Rhinolophus ferrumequinum: one gene and its partners. The protein of the gene in region 1 interacts with the protein of each later gene in a biochemical or structural test. Links are inferred from orthologs where the notes say so. Each region holds a gene or a part of one and is shown in the gene's direction. Other genes may lie near its edges.

Region 1 (7,708 bases):
AGAAGTAACGTGTACATTGGCAGCCTTTGTAAGACACATGCATTCCAGAGGGGAGACATAAATCTTTCAGTGACTCGGAAGCTCTACCCAATCAGTGAAGCTTTTGGGGATTCAGTGGTTTGGGCATGCCCGGATATCCCCTCAAAAGTCAAAAGCAAATTATTGCATATCCCACCTCCCCTATGAAGAAAGGAATGCAATGCTCGATTATGTTTTTTGGGTTTTAACCCCTCTAAACACAGTTCTCAAGGAGCCCAACACACGGTGGCAATGGACATCAGCCTCATTTCACTGCTGAAAGAGGCTGCGATTCATCCTGATTGTAATGACACATCGTCTGGATGTGAGCTAGCCTTTCCTGCATGCAGGGCTTCAGGCAGCACCGCTGTGTGACAGGGCACTTTTCTGTGGTAGCAATTTGCATGCAGGTAAATCCATCTAACATTTATAGCACATGAGCTAAATGCCAGGCTCTGTGCTACTGAGGGTGCAGACAAGCAGGGTCTCCCTCTCAGTCACTGAATAGCTGCTGTGGGTTTCTTTGGTTCTTGGACAAGAGAACAGGCGGCATTAAAACCATTTCACAGGGTCAGTAAGCAAACAGTGAGTTCAAGTGGCTTCATAATTCGGTGGCTAATTTGAGACAGGGAACCAGAATCATTTATGTTGATCAGATAAACAAGTCTTACTGGTAGGCAGCCTTTTAAAGGGCACTTGATGATAAAAAGCAAAAAATAAAACGGAATGACATAACTTTGAATTTCAGCTTTCTGCCTTGAGATTCCTCCTGGATGTTCCCTTCTCATCCTGAGTGAGTCGTATCAGGACGGGATGTCTGGGCCTCCAGGCGACAGCAGGAGCCACTCTCATACATCTCCTATCCCCCCGCCATGGACCCTGTGAAGCCGCCAAGTCCAGGCAATGTACTGAAGGAGTCATGCGACATTCTGCGGCAGCCTCCAGAACCTCTCTCCTCCCTGACGTGGACACAGTGATGAAGACTTCCTTCTTCTCAGCCCGCCAGCTTGCAGCGGCCTCTCACTTTAGACGTGCACATTTCACTTCCATGGTGTCATAACTGTCCACCCAGTTTCCCACTAGAATCAGAGCTTGTAGCCAAGAGGGATGAATGACAGCAGCCACAATAGGACAGGACAGGAACCAAGATGGATCTGTCCTAGTCACCCCGAGCCCCACACACCCACAGGTGCCAAGGGACAGGCCTATTTTAACTCACATAGGAGAAACTGAGTCACCTTGGGAAACTCCTCAGCAATGGTTCAAATCATCCCCGGAAAGCATATAGAGCAAGAAGAGGACTGGGTGGGCCCAGGGAAAGGCCAAGATCAAGGGACAGGAGAAGTGGCACTGGTGACTCTAAACTTTGCACATAGCAAGGGCCTGGGCAGCAATGAGAAGGGAAGGATGGCAATCGTCGGGGGCTCATGCTAAAGCTCCATGGGCACAGCGACGATGCAGCTGTTACACACAACTGCCTGCGATGGATGCGGTGACCGATCGCTACAGGGCCAGAAACATAGAACAGTTTCTATTCACATAAGAAATGAGAATTTATTATGGATAAATGGATATTCTGTTTATCTCCTTAGGGGTTCTGAGGAGAACTGGCTCTGCAAATGAGGGAGAGGCAGCTGGAGAAGGGAGGAGACGGTGGGGGGAGAAGAACCCCAAGAAAATGGAATCCTGGAATCTGAAAGACGAGAGTTGTTGGAAGGAGAAAATGCACACGGCCACATGCTGAAGGACGAAAGATCAAATAAGGTAAGGGCTACAAAGAGGTGCTGGTGTGTATTATTGCTGACCTCCTGAGAGCATGCATTAGTGTCGGGACAGACTCCAGACTGCAGGGGTTTACGGAGCGGAGAGGCAGTGAGCTAAGTGGAAAGACTGAGCTCGGCCAACTCTTGCAAAAGGTTCAGGAAGTGTGAGTAGCGGGGGCTGGGCTCCCAGCTCCACAGGCCACGAGCAGTATGAGAGACGTCATATTATGAGCTCCTACTGTCACCCATATCTCTGTGTACATCACGCAGATTCCCACCTTTCATCTCCACACGACTCTCTGAGATGAGAAAGCATGTCCATTCTGCTAAGGAGGACCGTGAGGCTCAAAGAAGTTAAGTAAGCAAGATGTAGAGCCCAGGTGCGTTGTCAAAGTTTTGCTTTCCATGACAGTCACATGTCTGGAAGAGGCAAGAGAAAGTTGACTGGTTGTTCTTTTAAAAGGAGGGTGGGGCATAGGTGTGTTTATGGGAGGAGGGGAATAAATCTTCCCTAACCCAACAGCAAGTGTCCCACTCTCTGCCACCTCTTATTTTACTAGCTCACTCTCTTTTGTACCAGGATTCCATGTGTCCTGTCACCAGCCCCCTTCCCAGTACATGGGTCAGACAGAGGGATGAGAGTGGGTGAAAGTGTAGGGTAGAGGGAATCAACATGGCCTCAGCCAGCTCGTGTTTCATGTGCTTTGTGTGCAGGACAAAGAAGTGCAATATTTCCCACTGTACATCATGGGCAGTGTCGGTTTTGTTTATTAAAATATCAGTAGATGGGCTCCTGGACCAAGCCTAGGCACTCTGGCACCAGCCATTTTCCACAGTGCTATTCCTATCTCCTTCCCTACACAACCTGTGTGGCGCGACATTATGTGTCTTTGGTTACCTTCTGCCAACTAGGTTCCAAGGACCGTGATGGGGCCCACAGTACCCATGGACACTCTGCTCTTCTCAAAAAGGAAACTTTGCAACAAAAGAGAAACAATATAGCCATTCCTCTGCTGAATGATGATACATTCTGAGTATTGCCACATTTTAATATTTTCCCAAGTCCTTTATTCTGTCACCCCCATTACATCCGGAGAAGTAGACTTGGCCGAGATGATAATCCTACGTGCCAGAGGAGAAAGCGAAATGCCGGGCAGGTAGGAAACGTCTCAATGTTTCCTCCCAATAACGATTGGCCAAACAGTGCAGCTGGGGGTTATTTTTCCCTGGTCCCCAACCCAGTGCTATTGCCTTCAGCCTTCAAACCTGATGTCATGTGAACTTTCCTGGGATTGTGGGGGCTTTGAAGAGGCCTGGTGGGGAGAGAGACATACACACTGAGCATCAGATTTAGTGCCAGGCACTGTACTAGCTGCTTTACATAATCAGTTCATGTAAGTCTCATACACATACTCTGAATTAGGTAAAACTAACCACTTTAATGAGGTAAAAATAATCATTTTGCAAAAAGGGAAAACATACTTAGTAAAGTGAAATAATTTATCCAAGATCAGAAATGGAGGTGATAGTAGGGAGGGCCAGGCCTGGAACCAGTTTTTCCTGGTCCAGGATGTGGAGCCACCCCTGGGAAGTGGACGGTCTGGGTTGGCCCCACCTCAGTGTATTCTGGGTAGACATGGATCTGCAAAACGCTCATCCTACCTGCCCTTCCCACCCCCACAAGGCAATCGTTTCAATGAGATCATGGATTTGAAAGCCACGAGATTCCAGAACTGCACTATATACCTGCTCTTTGTTATCGAGAGACAAGGATAGAGAGACAGAGAGACAGAGAATGGGAGAGGGTGAGGCCACGCCTCTCTTCAGTGATGTCATCACTTAATCACTTGATGTCCATTCCTGATCACTAACTTAAAGCTCTGAGAGCTGCTCCCTTTGATTCACCCAGCAAATGTGGACGACCTACCATCATCTTCCTTTACGGCACTCTGTTCATTTGAAGCCTCCTCACTCTGTTGAATGACCTTGCTGGGAAATCAATGAAGGAAGGACACATACTCCTTCTGTTCATTCTGAGTCTAAAGGTCCAGCTAAATGGCATATGTATCAGAGACAAGCCCTGGACTCTGGGTCCTGCGAGAACTGTGTCTTCCCAGCCATTTGGCCCAGGCAAATCAGTTAACTTCTATTGGCTTCTGTTCCTTGTCTCTTAAAGGGAGACCTTGGGGGTAATAACTGTGCTTCCTTTCCTCCATTATTGCAGAGAAGATAAGATAACAGAATATACTGGAGTGTAGCACTACTTGGTACCAAATCTGGGTTTTAATCCCAGCTGCCTCTCTTACTAGCTGTGTGACCTTGGGCAAATTCCTTAACATTTCTGATCATAGTTTTCTCGCTGAGAAAAATGGCAAGGACTGTTGTGAGACTTACATAGCCTATTTCAGCATCAGGTGGATCCATCTTGGCCTTCCTTCAAGATGGTTCATTACTGAAGTACGAAAAGGTCCTCTGCAAATGGCAGTTCCACCTCTCCAGAGTTCTCAGCCTCAAACTATGCTGTTTGATTACATAGTCACTGATTTTATTATGAACCCTAATTTCTCCAGCAAAAAAAATTATCTTGAACTGATCCTGAGCAAAGTGACTTTCTCTGACCAATAAGCAGGTGGCTGTCCCGTTTCAATCCTCAGAACTGACCTCCTCCTGCCCAGCGAGGGGGAGAGGGGGAGGGTAAAGAAGAGGGAAAGGGCTGATGTCACACAGCCCTACATAAGGGCCTCCTTTAGCCTCCTGCAGGCGGGTTGGAAGCAGCTGGAGGAATGAGTTAGGTCCTGGCTGTGGATTTTTTTTTTTTTTTTTTTTAAGCCAGACACAGACAGGGCTGTTGAGCAAAATGCAGACTCCGCAGAAAAGCCCAAGCCTCAGACCATTCAAGCAGAGGAAGAGCTTAGGTAAAGTTCTCGGGTAGCTGTCTGGGTTGCCAGACAGAGAAGGAAAAGGATACAGACTGCTCTCGCCGTTTCCTTACTCTTTTGTACTTGAAATATTCACAGCAACCAGACAAGAGGAAGTGGCTGGAATCCGGGCAAAGTTCCCAAACAAGATCCCGGTAAGACTCCATTGTACTTTTGGAAAAGGGGTACACTATTCTGTTGCTTGGGAAAAAAAATAATAATAATAACAACAACAGGAACAAAAAACCCACTCTCTCTGTCTCCCTGTTGTAAGACTCTAAGATACTGAGAGTTCTGAGTCACATTCTTAAGGGCGGAAACTCCCGACAGGTGGTAGTGGAGCGCTATTCCAGGGAGAAGTTCCTGCCCCCGCTGGACAAGACTAAGTTCCTGGTCCCCCAGGAGCTGACCGTGGCCCAGTTCCTCAGCATCATACGGTAGGTGACACGGTGCTCGTGGGGACGTGTGCATGGTCCTGGGCTTCTTCTGTTTGCTTTGATAGTTTGTTTGGTATTGAGGATAGGGGGGTGGGGTGGCGTCCCAGAAGAAGAGAGGGAAAGGATTTTCTTTGTGACTCACCACCTTGTAGGTTCTGCAGTGCCCAGAAAAGATGCTCTGAGAATTCATCTATTTTAAACAGGTGGGAGAACCTCTGAGATAACAAATCTAAAGACAGTCAGAGCTGCTAACATTTCTAAGAATTTCCTAAAGTAGTCTTGGTTCCAAAACGAGTCCAGAAGATCCTTTCTTCCTAATAGTGTGGAAAACCTGGCCAGTGTTTTCCCAGTAGAGACACGGCACCTTGTTGGAGTGTGCGAGCCTGGGGAGTGGAGACCTCTACAAAAGGCAAATGTTCCCCACACTGCTCAGAGTCTGAGAAGCGGGACACAAAGGTGTCCCCAGAACACATTCCTCCCTTGGGTTAGGGCACAGCAAAGAGGTAGTAACTACTTTTAAAGCTGAAGACAGTGAAGTGGTGTCACCTGACCCATGGATTCAATACAAATGACTGGGGAGTAATGTGGACATGACCTGGTAGGTAATCCTTCACAGGGTGAAGTCTGGAAGGGCCAGCCCTTGGAAACCCGATAACTGTTGCAGCTTATTTCTTCAAGAATTCATTATAAATATGTTAATCTCTGTTCTATTTGTTTCAATAAGTAAGATTATTCTGATTCCTCTCCTCAGGGAGGCTTAGTGACTGCAGGCAACTGAGGGAGAACGAGAATAAGAATTAGATCCCAACAACTTGATGCAACAGTAGATGACCTCCCTCCTCCAACAAGCCTTTGAGTTCTGAGAGGCATTCTTTCCCCCCTTCCTAGTCAGGGGCCTTCCTGTCTTCTCCACCACCCCTCGCCCACACCCCAATCCGCACGTTTGATGTTCACAGTGTTTATTGAGCACCAACTATGTCCTGAGTGTTCTCTGGGCTCTGTGTTCACAGCAGTGGACAGAATAGAACAAATTCCTGCCCTCGGCCTTCTCCCCCAGGGGGTAAGCCACAACCCTCATAACAAGGGAGCATGGCAGAGACAGGAAATGGAGGTACAGACTCCGGAAACAGAGCTTCCTTCAGAGCTAATGGCAACACACTCCCTCCCAGCTCTACCCCTTCCCGTTGCAGAACAGTTCTTTTTTATCCAAAGACCACTCATGCAATTGTGAGCTAAAATCTTTGGGGTTATTCTGGAAGGGATTCGCTGGTTGTATAATTACTCAGGCTCCAGCCACCCCCGTCTCCCACGGCTGCATGGATCTAGCTCACCTGACCTCTGAGGCTGAAGTGGGCAGGCTGTGCCTGCCCCCCCAAGCAGAGCAAATGGATATGCGCTTCAGGCCAGGCTGAGCCTTTACCTGAGTGTAACGTTGTCATGCTGTCCTCTACTCCAGGGTGAATCAGGACTTAGATTGACCTTGACTTGTAAAGCGTGTCCAGTCAAATTTGACTGCTTTGCTATCTCCTTGATGTTAGGGGAAGAAGGGCAGGGGGAAGGAAGAGCACAGTGAGAGGCAGTAGATTGCTTCTAAAGGTCCCCCAAGGCTGTGTAATATGAGATGCTGAAGGAAATTGGGATCCCCTTTGTACTTCTGGGGAAATACTTACCTTTAATTTCAGAGCAAAGAGGGGCTTCCACATTAGCATTTTTGTGTTGGTGTGTCTCCTAGTCCATGATGGGAACGCCTGCCCTTTTTTGCGGAAGAAGTAGGGAGCAATTCAGCTGTCTTGAGCATCACACTCCTGCAGATTCCTACCTAGGCTGCTTCTGAGATCTACTAAACCAAATGCTGTGGGCTGCAGCCCAGGAATGTGCATGTTCAACAGGCCTCTCCTGGGTGATTCTCAATTTTGAGGAGACACACCAGAGTGGGGAGGTGGGCATCTTGGATGGACGTGTTTACAGTGGCCACCGGAGGTAAGGCTTTGGCTCCATGCCCTTTCCCACCAGGTTAGCTTTCTCCCTTCCTGCCCCTCTCCCCATGCCAGGAGCCACATGGTCCTCGGGGCCACTGAAGCCTTTTACTTGCTAGTGAACAGCAAGAGTACGGTCAGCATGAGCATGACCATGGCCGAGATCTACAGGGACTACCGGGACGAGGACGGCTTCGTGTACATGACCTACGCCTCCCAGGAGATGTTCGGCTGAGGGGCCCCGAGGCGCCAGGGATGGCGCAGCCGGCGGGGCGGGCCCTGCCATCCTCTCCAGCTGCGGGACCAACCGAGCGGCTTCCTCCTGTGCGCGGTGGACCCACGGGAGCAGGGCCGCCCCGCAGGAGCCGCGCCCACGGGACAGGTAGGCCGGCGCCCTGTCCCCTTTAGTGCGCATGCCCTGTGTTCTCTGGGAAAACGCGGTGCCCCTGGGAGTTTTGTAAATAATGATATTTTGGGTAAGAGGTGGCTTCACATGCGGTGGTTCTGTGCGATGGCGAAGTGTCTTCCTGGTGGAGGCCGCAGACCCTGGAATTTGGTGTCACCTGGTGCGGCCGGAGCCCCGTGGATGCTCAGTC
Region 2 (7,945 bases), on another chromosome or scaffold:
CTGTCTATGGCTCCGTGGGTGTTCCTTTTTGGTCTCACCATATCCTTCGTTCTTATGTGGGGAGCGGGACCAGAGACCTGCATGCCACCCCGCATGACACTGTCTCTCTAATTTTGGGAACAGCTGTTTGCCGTTACCTCCCCTTTCTTATGGATCCAAGAAGAGTTGTTGCTTTTCAGTCTATTCAGTTTTGTACTTGTTGTTAAGACAGAGACTGGTGATTTCTAAGCTCCTTATGTGCAAAACCAGCAAGACTTGGGGCCGGTTGAATCCCTGAGAGTTTGGCTAGTTTGAATTTCAGAGCATTGTTGGCCTGTTTTATTTTTCCAGAGGATTAAGGGTGGTAAAGATAGTAACATTTTAGACTATGAAGTGAATTCCTCTATCACAAGTGAGGAACAAAGGGATCCCCACATGAGGAAAATTCTGGTAGCAACTTATCTACAGTTGAGGCAGTAGCCTGTTTGCAGAGAAAAGCTTCTAACCATCCTGGAAACAAGAATGTGCGTATCCTTTTTGTGTGTGTGTGTATAAAAGGGGGAGAGGGAAGTGAGTACTTGGAGAGTCCACAAGCAGGAGAAGAGGACACAGAGGTTTTCAGATTGAAATGCAGACATGGAGGGCGAGTCCCAATTAGGGTGATCTGCGTGGTTTCTTAGTCCTGGCCTATAAGGCAGAGCAATAGTGAAAAAGCTAGGGATCCAGTTCCAAGAAGAGCCAAATAATCCCAGAAACCATCAGAATTGTCTTTCAGTCTCAGGAAATGGATAATTGGTGACGGTGTTAATACATTTAGGGGACAAAGTCTTCTCTTCAATAGTGATAGCATGTCCTAGATAATTCTCTTGAGGGGGCCAAATAATTGCATTTTGTTTTTAGAAACTGTATGTCCATTGTGCACAGAAGCTTGGAGCAAATGAGTTGTCATAATCAGGTGAGCAGAGAAGGTCACCTGCATATTAGATAAGGAAAGAGTTGCAGGGAAAGGTTAAATTGCTCAGGTTTGCATTTAGGTAACCTGAGGTAACTATTTAACGAGGTAACCTGAGTTTAACTATTTTATTGCTTGCAAACGTTGGACTAGCCAATATTCCTTGCCATTTGGATTCTTTACTGTGGGGGGAGAGGCCAGAGTATTACAGGATGTGTCAATCAGGCCTTGAATCATAGGTTGAAAAGTTTGGAGGGCTTCTAATTTTAAATATGTTATGGAAATCTTGGGAGTGCCATGGAAGGGTCTAGTTCTACTTCGAGAGTTTTGGCCTCCCAGGTTTGGCTTATGTCAGTGGAATGAGCAGCCCAGAGGGAGTCAGGTGTTTTAGTTAACATAGTTTGTACTTTAGTGTTCGGGGTGCTTTCCAGGCGCAAGAAAAGTCTGTTGGTTAATGAGAATCATGAAAGGGCAAACACACATAGGTGTGGAAGCAGGGGCTTCCAGGGTGAGGCACTTGGGAGAGCAAAAAATATTGATATCCTACTGGAGAGTAAATCTCTGCCCAGAAAGACGACTTGGACGGAGGAGCTAAGCAGAAAGCTATGCTGTGTAATGAGAAGTATCAGTGAGGCAAAGAGAGAGTTAGAGAAAGGCAAGTCGTGTGGTAGATTAAGTCCCACGGCAGGTATCGTATGTGTACTCCAAGGGAAGGAAATAAAAGGTATTTGTATTAGTTTTCAAGGGCCGACATGGTACTTTGTTCCATACTGCAGATGTGGTGGCTTCAACAAAAGAAACTTATAATCCCACACTTGTGGAGGCAAGAAGTCCAAGATCAAGATGTTAGCTCCTTCCAAAGACTCTGAGGGAAAGCTCTGTTCTAGGTCTTTCTCCTTGGCTTGCAGATGTCCATCTTCTCTCTCTGTCTCTCCACATCATCTCCCTTTTATGCATGTCCTAATTTCCCCCATTTGTAAGGACACTAGTCATATTGGATTAGGGCCCACCCTCATGAACTCACTGTAAACTTGGTTGCCTCTGTAAAAACCCTGTCTTCAAATAAGGTCACACTTTTAATTACTAGGGTTTTGGACTTCAATATATGAATTCTGGAGGAATAATTGTGTTAATGGTGAAATTGTTGCCCTTGTGTCCACCAGGATGGTGGCGGGATATCCATTGATGGCAATGATTATTACCCCTTGCACATTAAGAGTTAGTTTTTCACCAAAAAAGGAGAGTGTCTCCGAGGAAAGTCCTAAATGATGGTTTTTTAGTCTTTTTTTTTTTAGATTTTTTTTTAACTTAAAAAACAAAATTTATTTAAGTGTGTTTTTTCAGGACCCATCAGGTCCAGGCCAAGTAGTTGTGATCGAACCTTGTTGTTAAGAGCACTGCACTCTAACCAACTGAGCTAACAGCCTGCCCTGGTTTTTAGTCTCTTGTTCACTTTTGCATTTTGAGACCAGTTAATACCAAGGCTTACGTGCCTTTTCAGTATCTGTAATAATCTCAGTTTTGGAGGGAGCAGATTATCCCGGCATGTTTCCTTCAAATTAAGTTGTAGTCTTCAGTTTGCATTGTTTTGATTTGGCCTTTTCTGCAACAGAGTCCTTGTGATGTTCACCTAATGTACGTATTTCAGAGAGAGAGAGAAAGATCACCTCACTAATTTCTAATATGTTTTGAATAATATCTGTAATTTCTGGTCATAGCCTTAATGAAGCTAGCGACCAAGGTGGAAAGGTTTCAGTCATTTAGAGTGACACCAGAGTAGTCCTTCCGAACATTTTCTAAACTATGTCCATAGTTAAAGACAGATTGATCTCTTTGTATTTTGTAATCTCCTATCTTTGACCAATCAGTTTTTGAAGGAAGACAGTGGGAATGAATTCTAAAAGTGGTTTTAGCCTGTATGTAAGCCTTGGGGGTGTTCTGATTTATTTCATTGATTGTTTGCTTGAACAGTGGCCCATTTGGCTTTTCAAACAATAAAGTGGCATCTCTGGGACCCACTAGTGGTAGCACAAGTTGTTATAAATCATGGGTCCCAAGAGACTATGTCCTGAGGATCGGTATGAATTGATAACTAGATTCTTCCCTATTTTTATGGTGGTCCAGAAAAACTTTAAATAATAACATGTAATAAAAACTTTAATAATAACATGTAAATCTGAGCCAGATTAAGGATTAAAGAATATTTGCTTAGGGGTCCTGCCTGAGACTATGGACTCATGATAAAAGAGACAGTCGTTAAGAGACTGTACAGTTTGAAATAGACTGGAGACATTTTATTTTTCAGCCTCCTCATACCAACCAAAATAAGCTGACCATTGGTGAGCCAAGATCTTAGCATCCCAAGATTTGAGGGCACCTTGTAGATAGACAGGCTTAGGGAAATTCCAAGTGAACCAAAGGGGGCTATTGGAGTTGTAAGTTGTCTTTAGTAAAATCCTGCCATTTTTGGAGGTAACGATCTGAATTTTCACCTTAGTGGTGAAGCATATAATTGGTGGGAATTTTGAACAGCATTGAATAGTGGATTGAGAGTTTCCCATAATACTAAGGTTAAACAACAGCTAGCAACAAAACCAAACCTAGAGATGGCTGGAGGCAGTTCCTTACAAAACAAAACATAGTCTTATCTAGCATCCAGCAATCACACTCCTTGATATTTACCGAAATGAGTTAAAAACTTATGTCCATGAAGAAAACCAACACATTTTATAGCAGGTTTATTCACTATTTCAGAAATTCAAAGGAAATAAAAATATTATTCAGTAGCTGAATGGATAAGTAAACTGGTATATCCATACAATGGAATAATAATAAATATAATAATAATAAAAGAAATGGCTATCAAGCCATGAAAAGACATAGAGAACTGAAATGAATATTGCTAAGTGAAAGAAGATATCTTAAAAGGGTACACATTGTATGATTCCAACTATATGACATTCTGGAAAAGGTAAAACTATATAGTCAGTAAGAAGAGCACTGGTTCCCAGTGAGTGGGGAGGAGGAAACATAAAACAGATTGAACACAGAGGATTTTCAGGGCAGTGAAACTATCCCGTATGATACTGTAATGGTAGATACATGATATTATATGTATTTTTTTCAGAACCCATAGAACTGTAGAACACAAAGAGTGAATGAACCCTAATATAAATATTTTAACATATATCACTATGAGTTTATCACTTGTAATAACTACGTATACTAACGCAAGCTGTTCACAGGAGAAAATATGAGGGGGTGGACTATATGGGAGTTCCTTGTAACTTTCTGCTAAATTTTCCAGTAAACCTAAAACTATTCTTAACAATAAAATCTATTATTTTAAGAAAATCAAAACTTAAAGGCATCTCTGCAGAAACCTGCAGGGTTTAAATTTTTTTCCTACAGGCTCATGATTTTAAATGAGTGGGTACTTCATTTTTCATAAATGCTAGAAGAAAAGCTAAAACTTAGTGAACCTTTAGATTATAGATACTGAGTAAGTACTTTATTGTTTTACTAATAAATGCGTATGTATTCAGAAAATAATATATATCCTATGCAATTTATCTCATTTAATTGTCACATAACGCTATGAAATACTATTGTTATTCACATTTTTTAAAAACACAGGAGACAGTTCTAGTATTTATCAATTGTTTACCAAAAACAATTGATAAATACTAGAACGGGCATCTAATCTGGATTCCTAACCGAAAATTCTACCGTAACACCAAATTGGAGATAATTAGCGATTTCTAATTCGGTCAGCTGAAACAACGGCCGAGAAATCTCGCGATACTATTGAAACTACTACTCCCACCATGCAAAGCGGCTTGTGCCTATCTGCCTATGTCCGTGGATCGGGCGGCCCGGCATGCCTCGAGGCGCGAAAGGCTACCTGGGCACCGTAGTTCTCCTGGACACATAGCGGTATCGCCAGCGCTGGTGGCCGCAGCGCTCTCGGTTCTCCCGGGTCCAGAGAGGGTGAACCGAGACAGAGAAAGGGCGCGGAACGGGAAGAAGGTGAGTCTGCACGGTGTATGCGATAAAGGGAGGTGGCACCGCGGCACAAGGTTGAATTAGGTAAATGGACTCGTGCTGCTATCTCTCCGGAGATACCGTTATCTTTGGGCTGGCGAGAGTCCGGTGAGGAGCCATAGCCTGGTCCTTACACCAGTTCTCACCTCAGCACCGCGGCCATCTCCACCATGCAGTCTCGGGAAGACGCTCCGCGCTCTCGCCGCCTCTCCAGTCCCCGTGGTGGGAGGCGGCCCAAAAGGATTCACAAGCCCACGGTTTCAGCTTTTTTCGCGGGCCCTGAGGAGCTGAAGGACACGGCCCATTCTGCAGCCCTGCTGGCACAGCTCAAGTCCTTCTACGACGCGCGGCTGCTGTGTGATGTGACCATCGAGGTGGTGACGCCTGGCAGTGGGCCTGGCACGGGCCGCCTCTTCCCCTGCAACCGTAACGTGCTGGCTGCCGCGTGTCCCTACTTCAAGAGCATGTTCACCGGCGGCATGTACGAGAGCCAGCAGGCAAACGTGACCATGCACGATGTGGATGCCGAGTCCTTCGAGGTGTTGGTCGAATACTGCTACACGGGTCGCGTGTCGCTAAGCGAGTCCAACGTGCAGCGCCTTTATGCAGCCTCGGACATGTTACAGCTCGAGTACGTGCGGGAAGCCTGTGCCTCCTTCCTAGCCCGCCGCCTTGACCTGGCCAACTGCACCGCCATTCTCAAGTTCGCCGACGCCTTCGACCATCACAGGCTGCGCTCACAGGCCCAGTCCTTCATCGCCCACAACTTCAAGCAGCTCAGCCGGATGGGTTCGATTCGGGAGGAGACCCTGGCAGATCTGACTTTGGCCCAGCTGCTGGCCGTGCTGCGCCTGGATAGTTTAAACATCGAGAGTGAGCAAACGGTGTGTCACGTGGCGGTGCAGTGGTTGGAAGCGGCTCCCAAGGAGCGGGGTCCCAGCGCTGCGGAAGTCTTCAAGTGTGTCCGCTGGACACACTTCACTGATGAAGATCAGGATTACCTGGAAGCGCTGCTAACCAAGCCCATTGTGAAGAAGTACTGTCTGGACCTTATTGAAGGGGCCCTGCAGATGCGATATGGTGACATACTGTACAAGTCTCTGGTGCCAAAGCCAGAGTGCAGCAGCAGCTCTGTTGTTTCTGCAGCAGAAAATCCACCCCAGAGGCTGGGTGTGTGTGCCAAGGAGATGGTGATATTCTTTGGACATCCCAGAGATCCCTTTCTCTGCTGTGACCCCTACTCCGGCAATATTTACAAAGTGCCGTCACCTTTGACCTGCCTTGCTCACACTAGGACTGTTACCACCTTAGCTGTCTGCGTCTCTCCAGACCATGACATCTATCTAGCTGCCCAGCCCAGGAAAGACCTCTGGGTGTATAAACCAGCCCAGAACAGTTGGCAGCAACTTGCAGATCGCTTGCTCTGCCGTGAGGGCATGGATGTGGCATACCTTAATGGGTACATTTACATCTTGGGTGGGCGAGACCCTATTACTGGAGTTAAATTGAAGGAAGTGGAATGCTACAGTGTTCAGAGAAACCAGTGGGCACTGGTGGCTCCACTACCCCATTCTTTTATCTCCTTTGACTTAATGGTAATTCAGAACTATCTTTATGCTCTCAACAGCAAGCGCATGTTCTGCTATGACCCTAGCCACAACATGTGGCTGAAGTGTGTTTCTCTTAAGCGCCATGACTTTCAGGAAGCCTGTGTCTTCAATGACGAGATCTACTGTATCTGTGACATCCCGGTCATGAAGGTCTACAATCCAGTCCGAGCAGAATGGAGGCAGATTAATAATATCCCTTTGGTGTCAGAGACCAGCAACTATCGGATCATCACTCATGACGAAAAATTGTTGCTGATCACCTCTCGCACCCCACAGTGGAAAAAAAACCGGGTGACTGTGTATGAATATGACATTAGTGGGGACCAGTGGATTAATATAGGTACCACATTAGGCCTCTTCCAATTTGATTCTAACTTTTTTTGCCTCTCAGCTCGTGTTTATCCTTCCTGCCTTGAACCTGGTCAGAGTTTCCTCACTGAGGAAGAAGAGATACCGAGTGAATCTAGTACTGAATGGGATTTGGGTGGATTCAGTGAGCTGGATTCTGAGTCAGGAAGTTCAAGTTCTTTATCTGATGATGATTTGTGGGTACAAGTAGCACCTCAGTGAAATACACAGGATCAGCAGGGTTTGTTGTACATAGGTTGAAACATTAAGGTGGTTTCACTGCTTTGGAAAGTATCTTAAAGAAATACCTGTTCCCTTTACTGTAGGAAAAGACAGTTGGTTGATTTCAGGTTTGGTTTAGAAAGGGTTTTGTTTGAACTAATGTAATTTAATGTTAGAGAATTTGAGCACTCCAAAAACAACCTATTTAATAATTTACTGTTCTAAAAGTCTAGTATTGATTTGTTCAGTATGTTTGTTAGATTATGCTGATTTAGTTTTCTACTGTTAAATCTTACATTCTGTTTAGTGCCACAAATACAGTAACTTGAATTTTAATTTTCATAATAGAAAACTTATTGGATAGGAATTACTAGATAGGGTTTTGAAAGTATATTTTTCTTCAGAACAGTGTAGTAGATTTCCAAAACTTTAGTGGGTTTTAACAAAGTGTGTTCTAACTTAAATACAGTTTGCTAAGTTTTAGTTTAGTTTTCTCCCTTTTTGAGAAGGAAAAAAAATGCATATATGTTTAATGTGACTGAATGTTGATTTCATTTGAAATACTGTTCAGAATGGTCGTAAACTCACTGGTAATAATAATAATAATAATAATAATAATAAACAGGAGTCTACTGTTTGAAAGGAAATTTCAGTTTTAAATTTGTAATATAAAATGTGTATTTGCAGATAGTGACCAATTTTCCATCTGGAAAATATTCCATTCTAGCAGTGCCACCAATCATCTACAAAGGTTAAAAAACCAATTCAGTGACGTCCTTTGTAGCTTCAT
Region 3 (7,354 bases), on another chromosome or scaffold:
TTTCAGGCTAACTATAAAATTATGTTGGAAAAAAGAAACCAATCTAGAGAAAATGCTTTGTAAACTCACCGTTGAAAGGAATAGTTCTGAATTTCTCTGGAAATAAAGTCACATAGTGTAATATATTAGACCAGAGTTTTCTCTTTGTCCCAAACGCTTCCTGGTAATAGTAGAAAAGATTGACAGTTGTTAATTAGTATTATTGTTCAAATTTAAAAATAAGAAAAAAAGTAGTTTTGCTTTTTTTCCCCTTCCCCCCCTCCCCTCCCAACTTCGATTGGGGCCATTGTTCTCAGTCTAATTGGGGAGGACGCAGTTCACTGGCCCATGTTGGTGTTATGAGCATTGTGTTCTACCTGGCTGAGCCAGCCGGTCGCTGGCTGCCGGCTGGCTGCCGACTGGCTGCTCACAGCAGCTCATGGCCACTCACAGCTGCCCATGGCAGTCCAGCTCCAGGTGGAGCCATTGTTCACAATCTAGCTGTAGAGGGTGGAGCTTACTGGCCCATGTGGGAATCAAACCGGCCACCTCGGTGTTAGGAGCACAGCGCTACAACGACCTGAGCCACCCAGCCACCCAGAAACATGTAGTTTTAATAAACAGCAGCAACTAGTATAACAAGGAAAAACTTATTTTATCTTAATATATTTCTCCTCATAAAACATGGTGATGTATGTATTCTGTGACAACGAATGCATTTTTGTTATTCAAAAGGAACTGGGTCCCAAATTGCAGATTTTTCTCAAATTTCTCTTGGAGCACTCAGTTGAGAATTCTGGTGAGCTGTTTTCTAGTATAATTAAAGCGTGTACTTAATCTTGATTCTAATTGGAACAGTTGGAAGCAGAAACAGATTACCCTACTTTCACAGTTAAGTGAAGCTGAGTGACCCTTATCTGAATCTCAAATTTTCCTATAGCTTTCATGTGTTCATGAAGGCTTGCTGCCTCTTATTCGTAGGTTGAATGAGGATGTCTATGCTTTGTTTCTTGGAATCTTCAGGCTGCTTTCTATAGGCAAATTAAAACAGGGACTTGAGCCCTTTTTTTTTTTCTGAGTAACTCAGGAAAAAAACAATTCCTTTTATTCAGTAACGCATGACATGCCAGGCACACTGGCCTTGGGGCCTTAGTACTTCCTTTGGCCTCACAGTCTCTTCTTAAAGCAATCTGTATGGCTCTCCCCTGAATTTCTTTAGTTGCCCTCTCATTAAGGCCTTCCTTAGCCACCCTATCTAAATTTCATCCCTTCCCCTCCACTTTATATTTCCTTTCCATATTTTATTTTTCTTCCTCACCAGTTTTTAGTACCTAATATTATTGATTAGTTTCTTATTTACCTTATTATGTTTCCCCACCCAGAATATAAACCTCATGAGGGCATGAATTTTTGTCTATTTTCTTTTCTGATGAATCCCCAGTACCTAGAACGGCATGCGTAAGTATTCAGTAAATATTTACTGACTGACTTACAGTGGGATAAGGCTTGGTATTGCAGTTGTAAAGGCCTGGGGTACAGTGCAGATTTTCTGTTTGGCCTAGAGTAACTCTCTTCACCCTTTTGAACCTCAGTTTTTTCACCTGTAAAGTAAAAACAACTACCTAATGAGGCAGTTTTAAGGGTTTAATGAGATAATGCAGGCCAAGTGTCTGATCTTATTAAAGTCATACAATAATTGTTAGTTCTCTCCCTTTCAAATTGAGGGGAGACCTTAGAGATTTTTCTGATATTATTCCTCCTCCTTCCACAAACCTTCTTTATGGGTGTCTCAGTCAGCGTTCCCATAGGAAACCCTTTTGAAGGTAGGGTCATTTGAGGAGGTTTGAGGTATAGGGGAACATAAGGAATAGAAGAGGAATCCAGGGAATAGTAGAATAGTCACCATCTATAAGCCCAAAGAGACAAGAAGAAGCAAGCAGAGTTTCACCCTAGGTTACCTCACAGGAAGGATACCAGGGGAATAAATAGCCTGATCTTATAGTCCTGTGGCCCTCACTGTGGTCAGTGGTCAAGTGGGGTACTCACGTAGCCAGAACCTGCAGCTGGAGAAAACAACCTTGAGCAGCATTCCTGGCCAATAAGAAACAATGAGCAGACAGAACCATAATCTGAGGAGAGAGAAGCGGGTCTAGGGAAAGTTTCTAAGGTTGTGCGTGTGCATTAGTTAAAAGAGCTGTCCTATAGTTAACTTTTCCTTATCATCATAGTAAAAAGCACTCTCATAAGTGGAATTTAAAATGCTAATGAGACATGCAACACCTGAATTTGCAGTAGGTACACTGGACAGGCGAGGTGTAGGACACGCCTCAGTATATTTTGGGGAAGAAGAAGGGAAAGAGGAAGAGGTGGCCCTGAACCCAAGAGCCTATAAAACTGCAGCTCCTGTAAGCCTTGGGAAGCCACATCCATTCTCTTTTGGAGTGTGCTCCTTTGGTGCATCAAGCTTTTGCTTTGATAAACTTGTCTCTCTGCAAAACTGTTTGCTTACTCTCTTGATTTCTATTCTGAGAGGGGCAAGGGGCCCTGTGCCAGTAACATCATCAGACACAACCATAAATCAAGGGGGCGGGAGCTCAGTGATGTGAGCCATACAGGTTAGCCTTCAGGACAGAAAACTGATGGAAAAGGATGGAGAGTGAATTTGGGGGAACAAAAGGAAGCTATCCAACCCCGTGTCCTAACTATGTATAAGGCACTTGCTATGCAAGGGACAGAGAAAATAAAGAAATAGTCCATTTCCCAGCAGACTCACAGTTGGGTTATGATGTCAGTCAAATAAACAGAACTTCAATACAGTGCAATAAGCACTATACAAAAAGCCAGCACAGTGTTATAGTCACATATAAGAAGCATCTCTTTCACCAAAGTGTCGGAAGTAGTGGGGTGATGATGTTGTGAGCTTGGCTGGGAAAGGCTTCCTGGAGATTAAGGTTGGTAACATAATTAAGAGTCCATTTTAAAGTATGAAAATTTGAGCCCATTTTAAAATGTGACAATTTTTTTAAAAGGGTGAAATGACCTTCTCTGAAAGATTTTTCTAACAAAATATAAGAAGATGGGAATAGAGCATAGAAGTGAGGATGAGAGTGAGAGATAGAATAATGAAATTTCAAAGGTTCTTCCTAGCTTTAACATTTTAATACCTTAGTTTTTGGTCCTGTTACTTCTGAACTGTTAGACTGTGGATCTTCAATAAACAAAATAATATAAAATTCTGCAATAATCTCTCTTGTTTACAGAATTTGGCTTAGGTTTCAATAATAAATGGTCTTTACAAACTTAAAATAACTAAATTTAGGGGGCAATGTAATGGTTTGAAAATAAATCATGTTAGTTTATTACATTGTGAAACAAAATAATGCAAAAAGAGGAATAACTATTAATAGACAAGTTTGAGTTGATGTTCATAAAGTTTCTTTATTCAACAGTCTCTTCATATTCTTTGTTCTATTCTTCAAAAGCTCTATATGACACTACATCTTGACAACTTCTGTCAAAAGCAAAGCCATTATATAGTAGCTGTATGTGGTCATAACAAAGATACTTATAGACAGAATTTAAGGTTCCGGTATACACACAACAGGGATGCAGGAAGGGGTCAAATTACAATGGCATAAGTGCTTTGGGAAGAAATCGGAAGGAAAGGGTGACAAGAGGGAAGGAAACAAACTTTCCTTGAGTACGTTTCTACGCATCACAATTTGTTCAGTTTGCCAGGTTACCCAGTTGAACAGCCCGCATTGAATCTGGTGCACTGAGAGAGCTCACTGCACTAATTGTTTTCTTTGTAATTAGACATAATTATTGTGAAATGTAGTGAGGAGATTGTCCACAAAATCAAAAAGAATTTCCAGATATAGTACTAAGTATCCTTAACTGTAGCTACAAATGTCAAATGGCTGGAGGAAAATATAATGAATAATTATAAACAGAACTAGACAGGGAAGCGTGCGTGGGCAGTTAGTGCTACTTCAAACAGCTGCAGAAGATGTATCCTTGAGAAATCTAGAAAAATGAATCAAATCGAATTGGGGCAAAAACAATGAGGGCAAGTGAGGAGTGCCAGCTCAAACGCATACACCCCTGGCCAGCTTACAGAGGCTCTGGGTCCTGACTAGGCCTTGCTCTCTCGCTCTTTCAATTTCTCCTCATTTTTTTCCCCTTCCCTGTACGAAGGCCAGCTCTTCCCTCCGCCGCCGAATCCGCCCTCGTTGCCCAGAGCCTGGCTCCGCCCACCCTCCCTGGACCGCGACCTGCGGCTGAGGGGCGGGGCGGTGCGGGAGGAGCCGCACTCTGGAGCGGGAGGGGGATCCGCCGCGGAGTTACGGGAAAGTTGTTCCGAGTTCCTGGAGTTTCCCTGTGTGGTTCCTGGGCTCCGCTGGCCAGTGCCTCGGCTTCTTTCCTCCCTCCCGCTTTCGCCGCCCACCCCGGTCCCTTCTGCCCCCGGCCGCCATGGAGCAGCCGCCGGCGCCCAAGAGGTAACAAACGCGGGGAGCGGGGAGAGGGAGGAAGGCGGCGGTCGCAGGGCGGGGGCGGCTAGGCCGGGCCGGACGGTGACAACCTCCCGGATTGCCGGGCCCGGAGCCGGGCCTACCGGGGGTCGGGAGGCTGGTCCCAGTGCCCGGCCGCGTCTCTGCGCGGGGCGAGGGGGTGAGAGGGGAGACGGACCGTCGCCTGCCCCGCGCCCGGCCTGGCGCGCGTGGAAAGTCGGGCATTGCCGGGCTCCCCGCGGCCAGACTCCCGGGACGGGCAGAGTTTTCCCCCGTGGCAAGTTCACGAAGCCAAGGAGACGTAAAACTAGGAAATTAATGGGCTTCTTAAAACCATGTCGACTTTCTTGTCAAATTTAAAAAATAATATTACCTTTTTACTTTTTTGAGAAGGCGGGTTTATTTACAGTTTAAGGAATTATATATTCATAGCTACACAGCCTGTAAAACTTGTGGATATGCCGCACTGACAGGTGTTCCTCAGCCCCCTCAAGTTCAGAAGTATTTATGGATGCAAGACAGGAATCTTAAACTAGAACCCCTCCCCCATATACTTTTGTTTTTGTTTTTTCTTTTAGCATATAAAAATAGTGATGTTTTGGTATTTACTGTTATATTTAATCTTTGATGTATTGGAAGTGTAAGAGTACACAGTAGATAGTTTGAGCTAATATTTGAAGTGATCTTAGAAAGCTAAATCAAGGCTATTCATTTACTTAAGTTTGTAATGTGCTTTCCCCCCAACCCCCAAATGAATCAATCAACTAAGTGATGCTGGATTAAAAAAACATTTAACTTCAGTTTTTCAGTTTTAGTTTATAAAATAAGGGTATTAATCTCTCTCCCAGATAGTGCTGTTGTGAAGATGAGTTTTGTGATTTTTGATACGTAGAGATCTTTAGATGGAAAGTGGTATATTCAAGAACATGAAATAATTAAAAAGGTAGGAACTTTGTGAGCCATTGTGAATCGGGTGACTAGATATGTGAGCCTTGAGGCCTGGAAACCATCTGTTCAGGTGAAAAGGGAGGCGGTGTGTGTGTGTGTGTGTGTGTGTGAGAGAGAGAGAGAGAGAGAGAGAGAGAGAGAGAGAGAGAGAGAGAGAGAGAGAGAGAGAGAGAGGTTTCCAAGAGACCTGCTATCAGACAGCCCTTGATAGATTCTTCTCTGGCATTTTGTAAAGTACCAGAATTCTAGTATTGATTGGGCACTCAGTTTTAATACTAGTGAAAAAAACAGGAAACTTTTTTTTCCTTTTTTGTTTTGGAAGTACTGTAAGGGGAACCTCTAAGCTAACACCCTAAGGCCAACTTGAACAACTCTAAATTGAAGTAGACCTCTATTCTGATTAGCTCTACTCTGTTATCACAGTTTCATTATAGATGTAAGAGAACCTCTGCCTTTGCAAGTACATTAGAGAACCTGGAGGGGTCAGGGCGAAGGGTGGGTGGCATACTTCACCATTTCATGGTAACTTACATTTTTTAAAGTACTGGTTACACATTTAGCAGACTTAGTTTTAGCTCTTTTAAGAGACACATGTTAATCCAGGAAGGCATTTTTGCAGAGCAAAAGATAAATGACAATTCCATATATTTGAATATCTCTTAAATTTTTTTTCATAATATTTTCATTTTCATAATATCATTTAATCCTTATAGCAACCCTGTTGAGTATGTTAGGTTACAGGCGTTTAATCCTATTTTGTAGATGAGGACACTAAGAGAGTTTGCCGCATGGAAGGCTATGAGAGAGAGAACCGATAGTGAGTTTTTGTATTGTCCCTATTAATCATTACCTTCTAATAATGAAATATAGCTACCATTTCTGAGATCATACTGTTTGCCAGGAGCTTTATATATACATTCCTTTATTTTATTGTCTTAAGAAATAGGAATCCTGGTTAGCAGTTTACTATGCTACTTCTAAATTTAATCTCTTCATCAGTAAGAATGTGTTGTGAGGAGTAAATGAGGTCATGTGAGAAGCACTTAGCACAGTGCTCTATCATGTGCTCTATAATGTTGTTAGTTTATGTTTTCCTTATTAAATGAAGCTCAGAGAGGTTAAATAACTTGGTCAGGTGGAGGAGGTGCCAGAATCTCCAGACTGGCTGCAAAGGCTGTGCACCCTCTCATTGTGTACAGTGATGCCTCTTTTTGAAACCCTTGCTTGCTTTCTAAGCATTCCATGATGTGGTGGTCAACTCTTTCTACAATTTTCTGGTCCCCTTTGCTTGTTAACTTAATCCCTGTAAGAATGGTCCTTTGCTTTTCTTTCTTTCTGTGTTGAGTAGCACTTCCTTAAGGCTCAGCCATTTTTACATGGTCACATTTATGTTGCTGATGTTCAAGTCTGTCCGAGTAGCGGCTGCTGCTCAGTTAGTAGTTTTGATTTTTCATGTAGATCCACTCTTTCATTATCCCTTCTAGTTGTCACTAGATCCTATCAAATTATTCATCAAAAAGTATATGGATTCATTTCTCCCCCTTTTGATTTTCAGTACTTCTACCCTCCATATTGCTGGGTTTTATGACCTTCACGCTTGATTTATAGCAGTGCCTTCCATCTGGGCACTGTAGTCCAATTTTCAAAAATTTGAGCAGCAGAAGGGCTCTGTGTGGAGTAGGGCAGGGCACTAGAACCTGGTCCCCAGGGCCTTGCCTCCTTCTATTCGCCTTTTGCTGTCCTACAGAACCTCCTAATGATTCATGTTTGCTTTAGTTCATCCTCCACATGGCTTCTGATTTATTTTTCTAAAGCAGCACTTCATTCATGCTACTCCTTTTTTTTTGTGGGGGGGAGGGTTGGGGCACACTAGTCAGTTTTGTACCCAAGGCTCCCATCACTTAATCTCAAGCCTT
Region 4 (7,746 bases), on another chromosome or scaffold:
TATCTCCATTCTTTTACAAAGAAAAACTATCTTCTTTGCACTGATAAAATAAAGGATTGCCAGCTCCTATATAGGCAAAAAGCAAAGTTAAACCTGATTTTATTTTTTTTTAATGATACCGGTAGTTTTGATTTCTGATTTCCTTAAGACTATCTTCAAATCCTATCCTTTTCCTAATTTTGTCTCTTTGGGATCCTATTTCAAACCTCCTTAGCATCTTACAATTATATTTTAAACCTGTTAAGATTTGAACATGAAGGTACAAGAACAGTGTTATGTGTTCAAAGTTTATCAGTGATTAAACAGAAGTACCAAAAAAGTTGAACAGTTTTATTCATTTTTATAGCTAACAAAGACACTGGATTTTTTATTTTTAAAATCTGTTTTTAGCGTTAGACCTCATAACATGTTTTCTTTTCACCCTCAAGAAATGACAGCTATACTAGGAACTGAAGGTATTACAAACAAAATCTATTAATTAGCAAAGATGCTTTTCTGCTGCCAAAGGAGACTTCCTCATTAACTGGCAATCTAACTTTTTAAAGCTGAGTGACAAATGATGATTTGATTTTTTTTTTCTGTTTGTATTTTTGCTTTTGCTTTTACTATAGAATAAGAATTTTTCCCCCCTCTGTCTTTACAGAGCTGTTTTACTTCTAGATGGGACCAGTTAAAATTTAGTGTTGGTGTTTTTTCAACAATGAAATATATATACAAAAAGTAGATATAATATGAATCTTTATTTTAAATAATAAGATAAATATCTGTGTACTTTATTACTCAACTTAAGGACTATAACATTACCAAACTCTTCAAAACCCCCTTCAGCCTTCCCAACAGCATTTCCTTTTCTTCCACTCACAAGTAGCAGCCACCATCCTGAAAATTGTTTATCATTTCTTTGCTTTTTAAAAATATTTTTATCATGTATATATGTATCCCTAAAAAAACCAGAGTTTCCTTTTGCATGTTTTTCAATTTATCAAAATAGTATCACTCTGAATGAATTCCTCTGTGACATGCTTTTTGATCCATGATAACACATTTTCACTGATGCATAATTTTCCATCATCTGCAAATGCCATAAAATCCTAATTTGTGTATTTATCCTCCTTAATAGATACCAGTGTTGTTTCCAGGTTTTTGCTGTTACCAGTTGGTAAACATTCTTGCCATGTTTCCTGATGCACATGTGTATCTGTTAAGATTCGTAATTTGGGGTTGAATTGCTGGGTCATGGTGTTACGGTGTTATTTTTCCTGTTGTTACTGACACCAATGTGAATTTCTCCCTGATTCTTGGGTGCTTCATTGGTGAACTATTTTATGTGAGTTATATGTAATGTTGTCCACAAGGAGGGATAGCTCATGTTTGCACTTTTCACCATAGTTGTCTAGTCGTTTTTGCCTATAACTTCAGCATGGTGTAACTCTTTCTTCGTTGCCAAAATGGATATTTCTCATACTCGGGTGCAGTAACACTCCTTGAGCACATGTAGCGTACTATACATGGTGTCATGATATGTCAAAAGGAAAAAGCATTGCCTCTGATATTAACAATGGGATATTTCTAGGGTTATAAACATGATGTATAAACATTAAAAACAAACAAACAAAACAACCTTTAAAGCTAAAAGCAAGCACAAAAGAATGCATTGATCAGTATATTGCAGATTCCCCAGGGGGCAGGGATTGCTTGTTGAAGACTCAGGGAAGAGTTGATGTTACAGTCTTGAGGCTGAAATCTGCAGGGAAGGCCACCAAGCGGGAAACTCAGGTAGGGTTTCTATGTTGTAGTCTTGAGGCAGAATTGCTTCTTGTGTGGGAAACCTGTCTTTGCTTTTAAGGCCTTTAACTGATTGGATGACACCTACCGTCTTATGGAAGGTAATTGACTTTATTCACAATCTAGTGATTGAAATGTCGATCACATCTCAAAACTAGCTTCACAGCAGCACCTAGACTGGTGTTTGACCAAACAACTGGGCAAAACAACCCCGCCAAGTGATACATACATATTATCATCACCCTGGACTTTAGACTTCAAAGTTCTAGTCAATGATTTGGGTTATCCAGAGCCTAGCCATAGCATGTCAATAATCACATTATTTTCTGTGTAGATAATCAATCACCAAACATGTCAGAATGTGGGGTCCTGAGCTTCAGTCTAATCCTAAGATGTTACCTGTGTCACTTCAGAATATGGAAATCTATAGGACTGGCATAGATTCCTCCCCGATGAGGGTTGCCCCCACTCTACCTCTGCTCCCCTTGGGTTAAGGCTCCTCTTTTGGCATCTGTTTGGCTAAGGGGCTACATTTGCCCCAGGTTCCCCAGGCTCTGCACATGACTGCTGTGACAGCAGTACAGAGCCCGTGTGGTCCCAGACCAGAGTCAGCAGTGCAAACTGTTCAGCCTCTCGAGAATTAAACGCAGACTGGAGAGCGAGCTAGGAAGGGCAGATGATTCTCTTACCTTACTTTTCCTCTTTGCAAAATTTTCAAGCATCAGTCCTTCTTGTCCAGCTGCAGTGCTTTTTGACATTTGTTTAGAAGTAGTAACTGGATCAATTTCTTTTTAAAACCCTGAAAGAAATCATGAGGCAGGCAGAGTGGCTATTCATCTATCCATTCAGTCTCCTCTCTGGTGTTACTTAGTGCTTACGTGTTCCCAACAGGAGCTCGGGGCATCAGAAGAAATGTTTAGTTATGACCCTCACACACTGGAAGCTTAAAATCTAGTTAGAGTTTTAACTAACATGAAACTGATGCCAAATATCTGGCCAAATTCTTGAGGTTCATTATTTTATATTAAGAACTAGAGGAGCTTTGCTTATTAACTGAAAGTTTTAGGCCGCAGGCACGAGCAGTTAGATCTCATTGATTAGCCTGTTAGTAGTGATCCATTCTTTAAATTATCAGACCCCTAACTTAATTTAAGACAGAAAGCAGAAGTCATTTGAAGGCAAAGTGAAAAGATTAGGACTGTTTCTTCTATAAAGAAAAGGCATGATACGGGACTGTTTACTGACATCTGTAAAATCATTAAGGAGAGTATACAAAATCAAAATAGCATAATAATTTTATTACTAAGTTTACAATTATTGCACACATTCTAAAACATAGTACTGTCTCATTCGAGTCAGAAATATCATTCTAGTCAGAAATATAATTTAATTGATACCATATTTCTATTTTTTCTTGTCTTAATAGATTTAAAATACCGTTTAGAAAATTGTGATTGAGAACAGATCTGTCTTATGGGGTTTTCTTTTTTAAACAAAGTGCAAGTATGTATTTTACATATTTGCTTTTACTTAGAGAAAAAAAAAAAAACACCTTACTTAAAAAAATACAACTTGGGTGTAGTACCATGTGGTGTAAACAACTGAACTATTTTACTTTTTACTTTCCTATGAATGAGCCAGTATATATTTATTACTGGAGTTCCAGCTATAAAATTCAGGTAAGGGGTTTAAATATACCCTAGAGTATTATTTAAAAATAAATTTATTTCTTTCAAATAGAGTACCAACCTTGGTCTATGACATTTGGGGCAGAAATTAAAATATTAAACTTTTATTACCTAGTAAACTGAAAATAAAGTAAAGGTTAAATAAATACAAAGCAGAAAAAATATATATACAAAATCACAACCCCTAAAAGGACAAACAGTGTACTGTTCTCTACTGGAGGAGCTTTATCAGCAGTAGTAAGTAATTCCACCTCTAGGGCAGTGCTAGTACTCAAAAATGTAAACAAGTACGTACTTTGTTTATATAAAGAAATATGCAGCATGGTTTGTATTTCTTTATAGATATGAAACAGCTAAATGGATTGTTTCAGTGCACCAGTAGGGGCCAGCAAAGAGCTCTTGGAGTTTTTCAGAACAGAATTGGCATTGAGATATGTTTATTTGATGTGTTAAATCCTTTTTAGACTTCTTTACTTACCACAACACTCTCTTAAGTGAATGAATTGCAGAGACAGTGGAATAAAATATCTTGTGTGCTCAAACTATATTGGGGTATAGTTTTTCTGTCTAATCTGCATATATTTTTAATGGAATGTTTGCTTAGGCTATTTCTTGGCAGAGTTTTAATAGTCAAAATATAAATGGCATCATTTAAAGACTGTACTACTTGGCTGTAAAAGCCTTTAAAATTATAGGAGAAAATGCTTGGTGACAGCTTCTCTTAAACTTTATTTTTTCTCAGACATATACTCAATTTTTGCAATAGTATTAATAGGCTCATTTTGTATTTCTTTCCTTATGCTTTCATTTTGTATAAGAAGTGTTTTGGAATTTAAAATACTTATCTATTTGATCGAATGCTAAATTTTTAATTTACCCCACACTTTTGGTGTGTCCAAATTGCATAACTGTTTGAAGTTATCTGTAAAAATTTTAACAGTCTATATTCCTTTCTACATTAACTAACTTGACTAGATTCCTAGTGTGGCCACTATTTGGAAATTCAATCCTCGATTTGATACTCAATTACATGGGGTTTCATTCCTACCAACTTCCTGTAATTTTATCCCTATGGGTAAAAATATTAGTGGTCAAACTCTGCTGGAAAAAGTATAGGCACAGTGATTCACACAGTTAAATGTTCATTTAGTAGAGCTGGAGTGAAAAAAATACTGTTTTAACTTGAAATGCTAGAAGATTGTTGTTCTTGTGTTACTCATTCATGCAAATTGGAGAAGGTATAATTGAAACAAGGTTGGCAGTGTTTGAGGCAGTGAGCTGCAGCTGAGCTCAGCTTTAAAGGTCGCTGGAAATCAAGTGCTTTGTAAGTGAAGGCATTTTGACTACAAGCAATTCAAGACATTTTGGAAACGTCAGTCTCAGGAATGGGTCGTCTTTTTCTTTCTGAGATATCTGGTATCTAGTGTTTTCCTTTGGATAAAGACTACTACTTAAGAGCTCTTTTAGGCACCACAAATGATTTTTTCTTTCGACGCAGTGCAGCTGCTTCTAGCCTGTCTACCGACAGAGATCTTTGTTATGACTTTCAGCCCTTAACATGTTTGGAAATGAGAACAAATGGCACAAAGCTTACGATTGCACTTTGCAGCCAGAAGAAGCAATACTTATCCTTTGTCAGAAACCTCCGGAGATGACTCGGATAGCAATGTTCCCATGTGCTTCAAAAGACCAACACGGATTTCAACGTCTAACGTTGTTCAAATGAAGCTGACTCCCAGACAGACTGCACTAGCTCCGTTAATAAAGGAAAACGTTACGTCTCAGGAGAGCTCATCTGTTCCTCCACCTGAGAATGTTAATAAAAAGAGCAGCTGTCTACAGATTTCACTACAGCCAACAAGGTACAGTGGATATCTTCAGTCTAGCAGTGTCTTAGCTGATGCTGACGATGCTTCATTTACCTGTGTCTTGAAGGATGGCATTTACAGCAGTGCTGTGGTTGATAATGAACTAAATGCTGTGAATGATGGAAACCTTTTAAGCAGTTCTGCCATTTGCAGTGGTAGCTTTAGTAACTTTTCAACCAGTGAGAACGGGTCTTACAACAGCAACGGTAGTGATTATGGGTCATGCACAAGTATCACAAGTGGAGGTTCCTACACCAACAGTATCATCAGTGACAGCAGCGGTTATACTTTTCCATCAACTGATGATACTTTTCTGGCCGGAAATTTATCTTCTGACAGCACCTCCTATAGAAATGTGCCAAACAGGAATACTACTCCATGTGAAATTTTTTCAAGATGTACAAGTACAATTCCTTTTGTCCAGGATGACTTGGAGCATGGACTAGAGATTATGAAATTGCCAGTGAGCAGGAACTCGAAAATTCCACTAAAACGTTGCTCATCCTTAGTCATTTTTCCCAGGAGTCCTGCAAATACCCCACCAACTTCTCCGACAAATACAGGTATTCTTCCAAGCAAAGGATCCTATCAGACGTCACACCAATTTATTATTTCTCCTAGTGAAATTGCCCACAATGAAGATGGTACTAGTGCTAAGGGATTTCTTTCAACAGCTGTCAATGGACTTCGGTTATCTAAAACAATCTGTGCTGCTGGAGAAGTAAGAGACATACGACCACTTCAGGGGAAGGGCTTATCACAAAAGAAAATTGTTATTGCGAATAATAGTCCAAGTCAGACTGTCTTTGAAAAGTCACCTGATGGATATTCTTGTGTTTCAGTACATTTCACCCAACAAAAAGCAACTACAGTAGATTGTGAAGCAGCAAATAGTGATTGTAGACCAGAGATGTCAGAAAGGAAGCTTAATTCTGATTCAGAGTATATTAAGCTGATGCATAGGACATCTGCGTGTTTACCATACTCCCAAAACGTGGATTATCAAATAAATATTAATGGACAGTTGGAAAGACCAAATTTACAGATAAACAAAAACCGTGCTATTTTACAAAGAAGTATTTCACTGGGAGGGACTTACCCAAATGTTTCCTGTTTATCCAGCCTTAAGCACAATTGTTCCAAAGGGGGACCATCTCAATTACTAATAAAGTTTGCATCTGGAAATGAAGGTAAAGTTGATAATTTATCAAGAGACAGCAACAGAGATTTCACAAATGAACTATCTAATTCTTTGAAGCATTCTTGTAAGGTAAGTTTCCTTTGGTCTTGGTAAATGTTAATTTATATTAGAATAGCTTTATGAAATATTTGGTTATAATTTAGCAGTTTTATATACTTTCCTGGTCCTTACTTACCAAGCAAGTATTTTGTAGTCATGAACTTTATATTTGTAAATCTGATGAACCCCCAATAGTTTTTCACTCTATTTGTTATTTTACTAATGTAGAAAATATTCATTAAAAAAAAACTTTCTGAAGTGATTTAAGCCATAAAACATTTCTGTAACATAAAAACAAGCTTTAAATAATAATTTATTTTATAACACTTTACCTTGATGTATTTTTCCCTCCCCTCAAGAGGCATAATATTTTAATGTGTAACTCCATATTTTATTCCTACTTACAAAAATGCTCATTTATTAGTCTCCTCTCCGTAATCATTGTGAAGTAAAGTAAAATATAGAATGCTTATTTAAAATATTAAGCAATAGAAAGTGTATGTAAAAATGTGAAAATCTTGTTAGAAATGAGCATAGAGAAAACTGTTTTTCTAAAATACATGTATTTATTAGATCATTGTTAAAAACTATTATGCTGCATGTTTAAAGCAGAGGAAAAATAAATGACATTTTCATTTGTATATGCCTTAACCACAGGAATTTTGTTTCCACGGTATTTTTCTTTAGCTACCAGGTAAGACTGCCTTCTGAAATGTAACTTACTCTTTCAACAATATTGAAATCTAAATTTTATATTTTTGAATTTGGTTTCAATTGTTAGGTATTTCCCATAATTTTTTAGTTACCTTATTCATTTGTTATTTGATAATTTTGATTTATTATATTAGTAATTTAACTCTAATAAATCTTAACTAAAACAGTTCTTTATGTAATGTGGCCTTTCCAAAGTATGTTAAGTGTTTTGACCTTAAATAGAGTTTTTAAAATTTCTGAATTTGGAAGGTCTTGCCAGGATATTAAAACATTTTAAATACCAGGAAATTAAATTTTTTTTCTGACTAAACCAATTCTAGATGACATTATTGGAGGAAAAACTTATCTGTTTGTCTGTGTTTAGTCACTCAACGTAACACTCAATATCTATACTAAAGATTTTTTTTTAAACTTCTGGAGAGGTAGCTTAAGGTAAATAAAATATGAAATA

What was found. The genes of interacting proteins can lie anywhere in the genome.
Region 2: the proteins of MAP1LC3C (region 1) and kelch repeat and BTB domain-containing protein 6 form a complex in vitro, tested with the Homo sapiens proteins (2 studies listed by BioGRID and IntAct, with this or other methods). The link is inferred for Rhinolophus ferrumequinum from reciprocal best matches to the Homo sapiens genes MAP1LC3C and KBTBD6.
Region 3: the proteins of MAP1LC3C (region 1) and STK3 form a complex in vitro, tested with the Homo sapiens proteins (2 studies listed by BioGRID and IntAct). The link is inferred for Rhinolophus ferrumequinum from reciprocal best matches to the Homo sapiens genes MAP1LC3C and STK3.
Region 4: the proteins of MAP1LC3C (region 1) and NEDD4 form a complex in vitro, tested with the Homo sapiens proteins (2 studies listed by BioGRID and IntAct). The link is inferred for Rhinolophus ferrumequinum from reciprocal best matches to the Homo sapiens genes MAP1LC3C and NEDD4.

The regions. Positions count from the first base shown.
Region 1 is NC_046310.1:18,307,231-18,314,938, forward strand, and holds the start of MAP1LC3C (microtubule-associated proteins 1A/1B light chain 3C), read left to right. Parts: upstream 1-4,564; 5' UTR 4,565-4,638; coding exon 4,639-4,696; intron 4,697-4,798; coding exon 4,799-4,854; intron 4,855-5,029; coding exon 5,030-5,136; intron 5,137-7,187; coding exon 7,188-7,347; 3' UTR 7,348-7,708.
Region 2 is NC_046287.1:8,914,932-8,922,876, forward strand, and holds the start of kelch repeat and BTB domain-containing protein 6, read left to right. Parts: upstream 1-4,877; 5' UTR 4,878-5,145; coding exon 5,146-7,155; 3' UTR 7,156-7,945. UniProt on the Homo sapiens protein: As part of the CUL3(KBTBD6/7) E3 ubiquitin ligase complex functions as a substrate adapter for the RAC1 guanine exchange factor (GEF) TIAM1, mediating its 'Lys-48' ubiquitination and proteasomal degradation.
Region 3 is NC_046297.1:40,660,153-40,667,506, reverse strand, and holds the start of STK3 (serine/threonine-protein kinase 3), read left to right. Parts: upstream 1-4,286; 5' UTR 4,287-4,452; coding exon 4,453-4,478; intron 4,479-7,354. UniProt on the Homo sapiens protein: Stress-activated, pro-apoptotic kinase which, following caspase-cleavage, enters the nucleus and induces chromatin condensation followed by internucleosomal DNA fragmentation.
Region 4 is NC_046289.1:53,009,699-53,017,444, forward strand, and holds the start of NEDD4 (E3 ubiquitin-protein ligase NEDD4), read left to right. Parts: upstream 1-4,678; 5' UTR 4,679-5,051; coding exon 5,052-6,611; intron 6,612-7,746. UniProt on the Homo sapiens protein: E3 ubiquitin-protein ligase which accepts ubiquitin from an E2 ubiquitin-conjugating enzyme in the form of a thioester and then directly transfers the ubiquitin to targeted substrates. Specifically ubiquitinates 'Lys-63' in target proteins.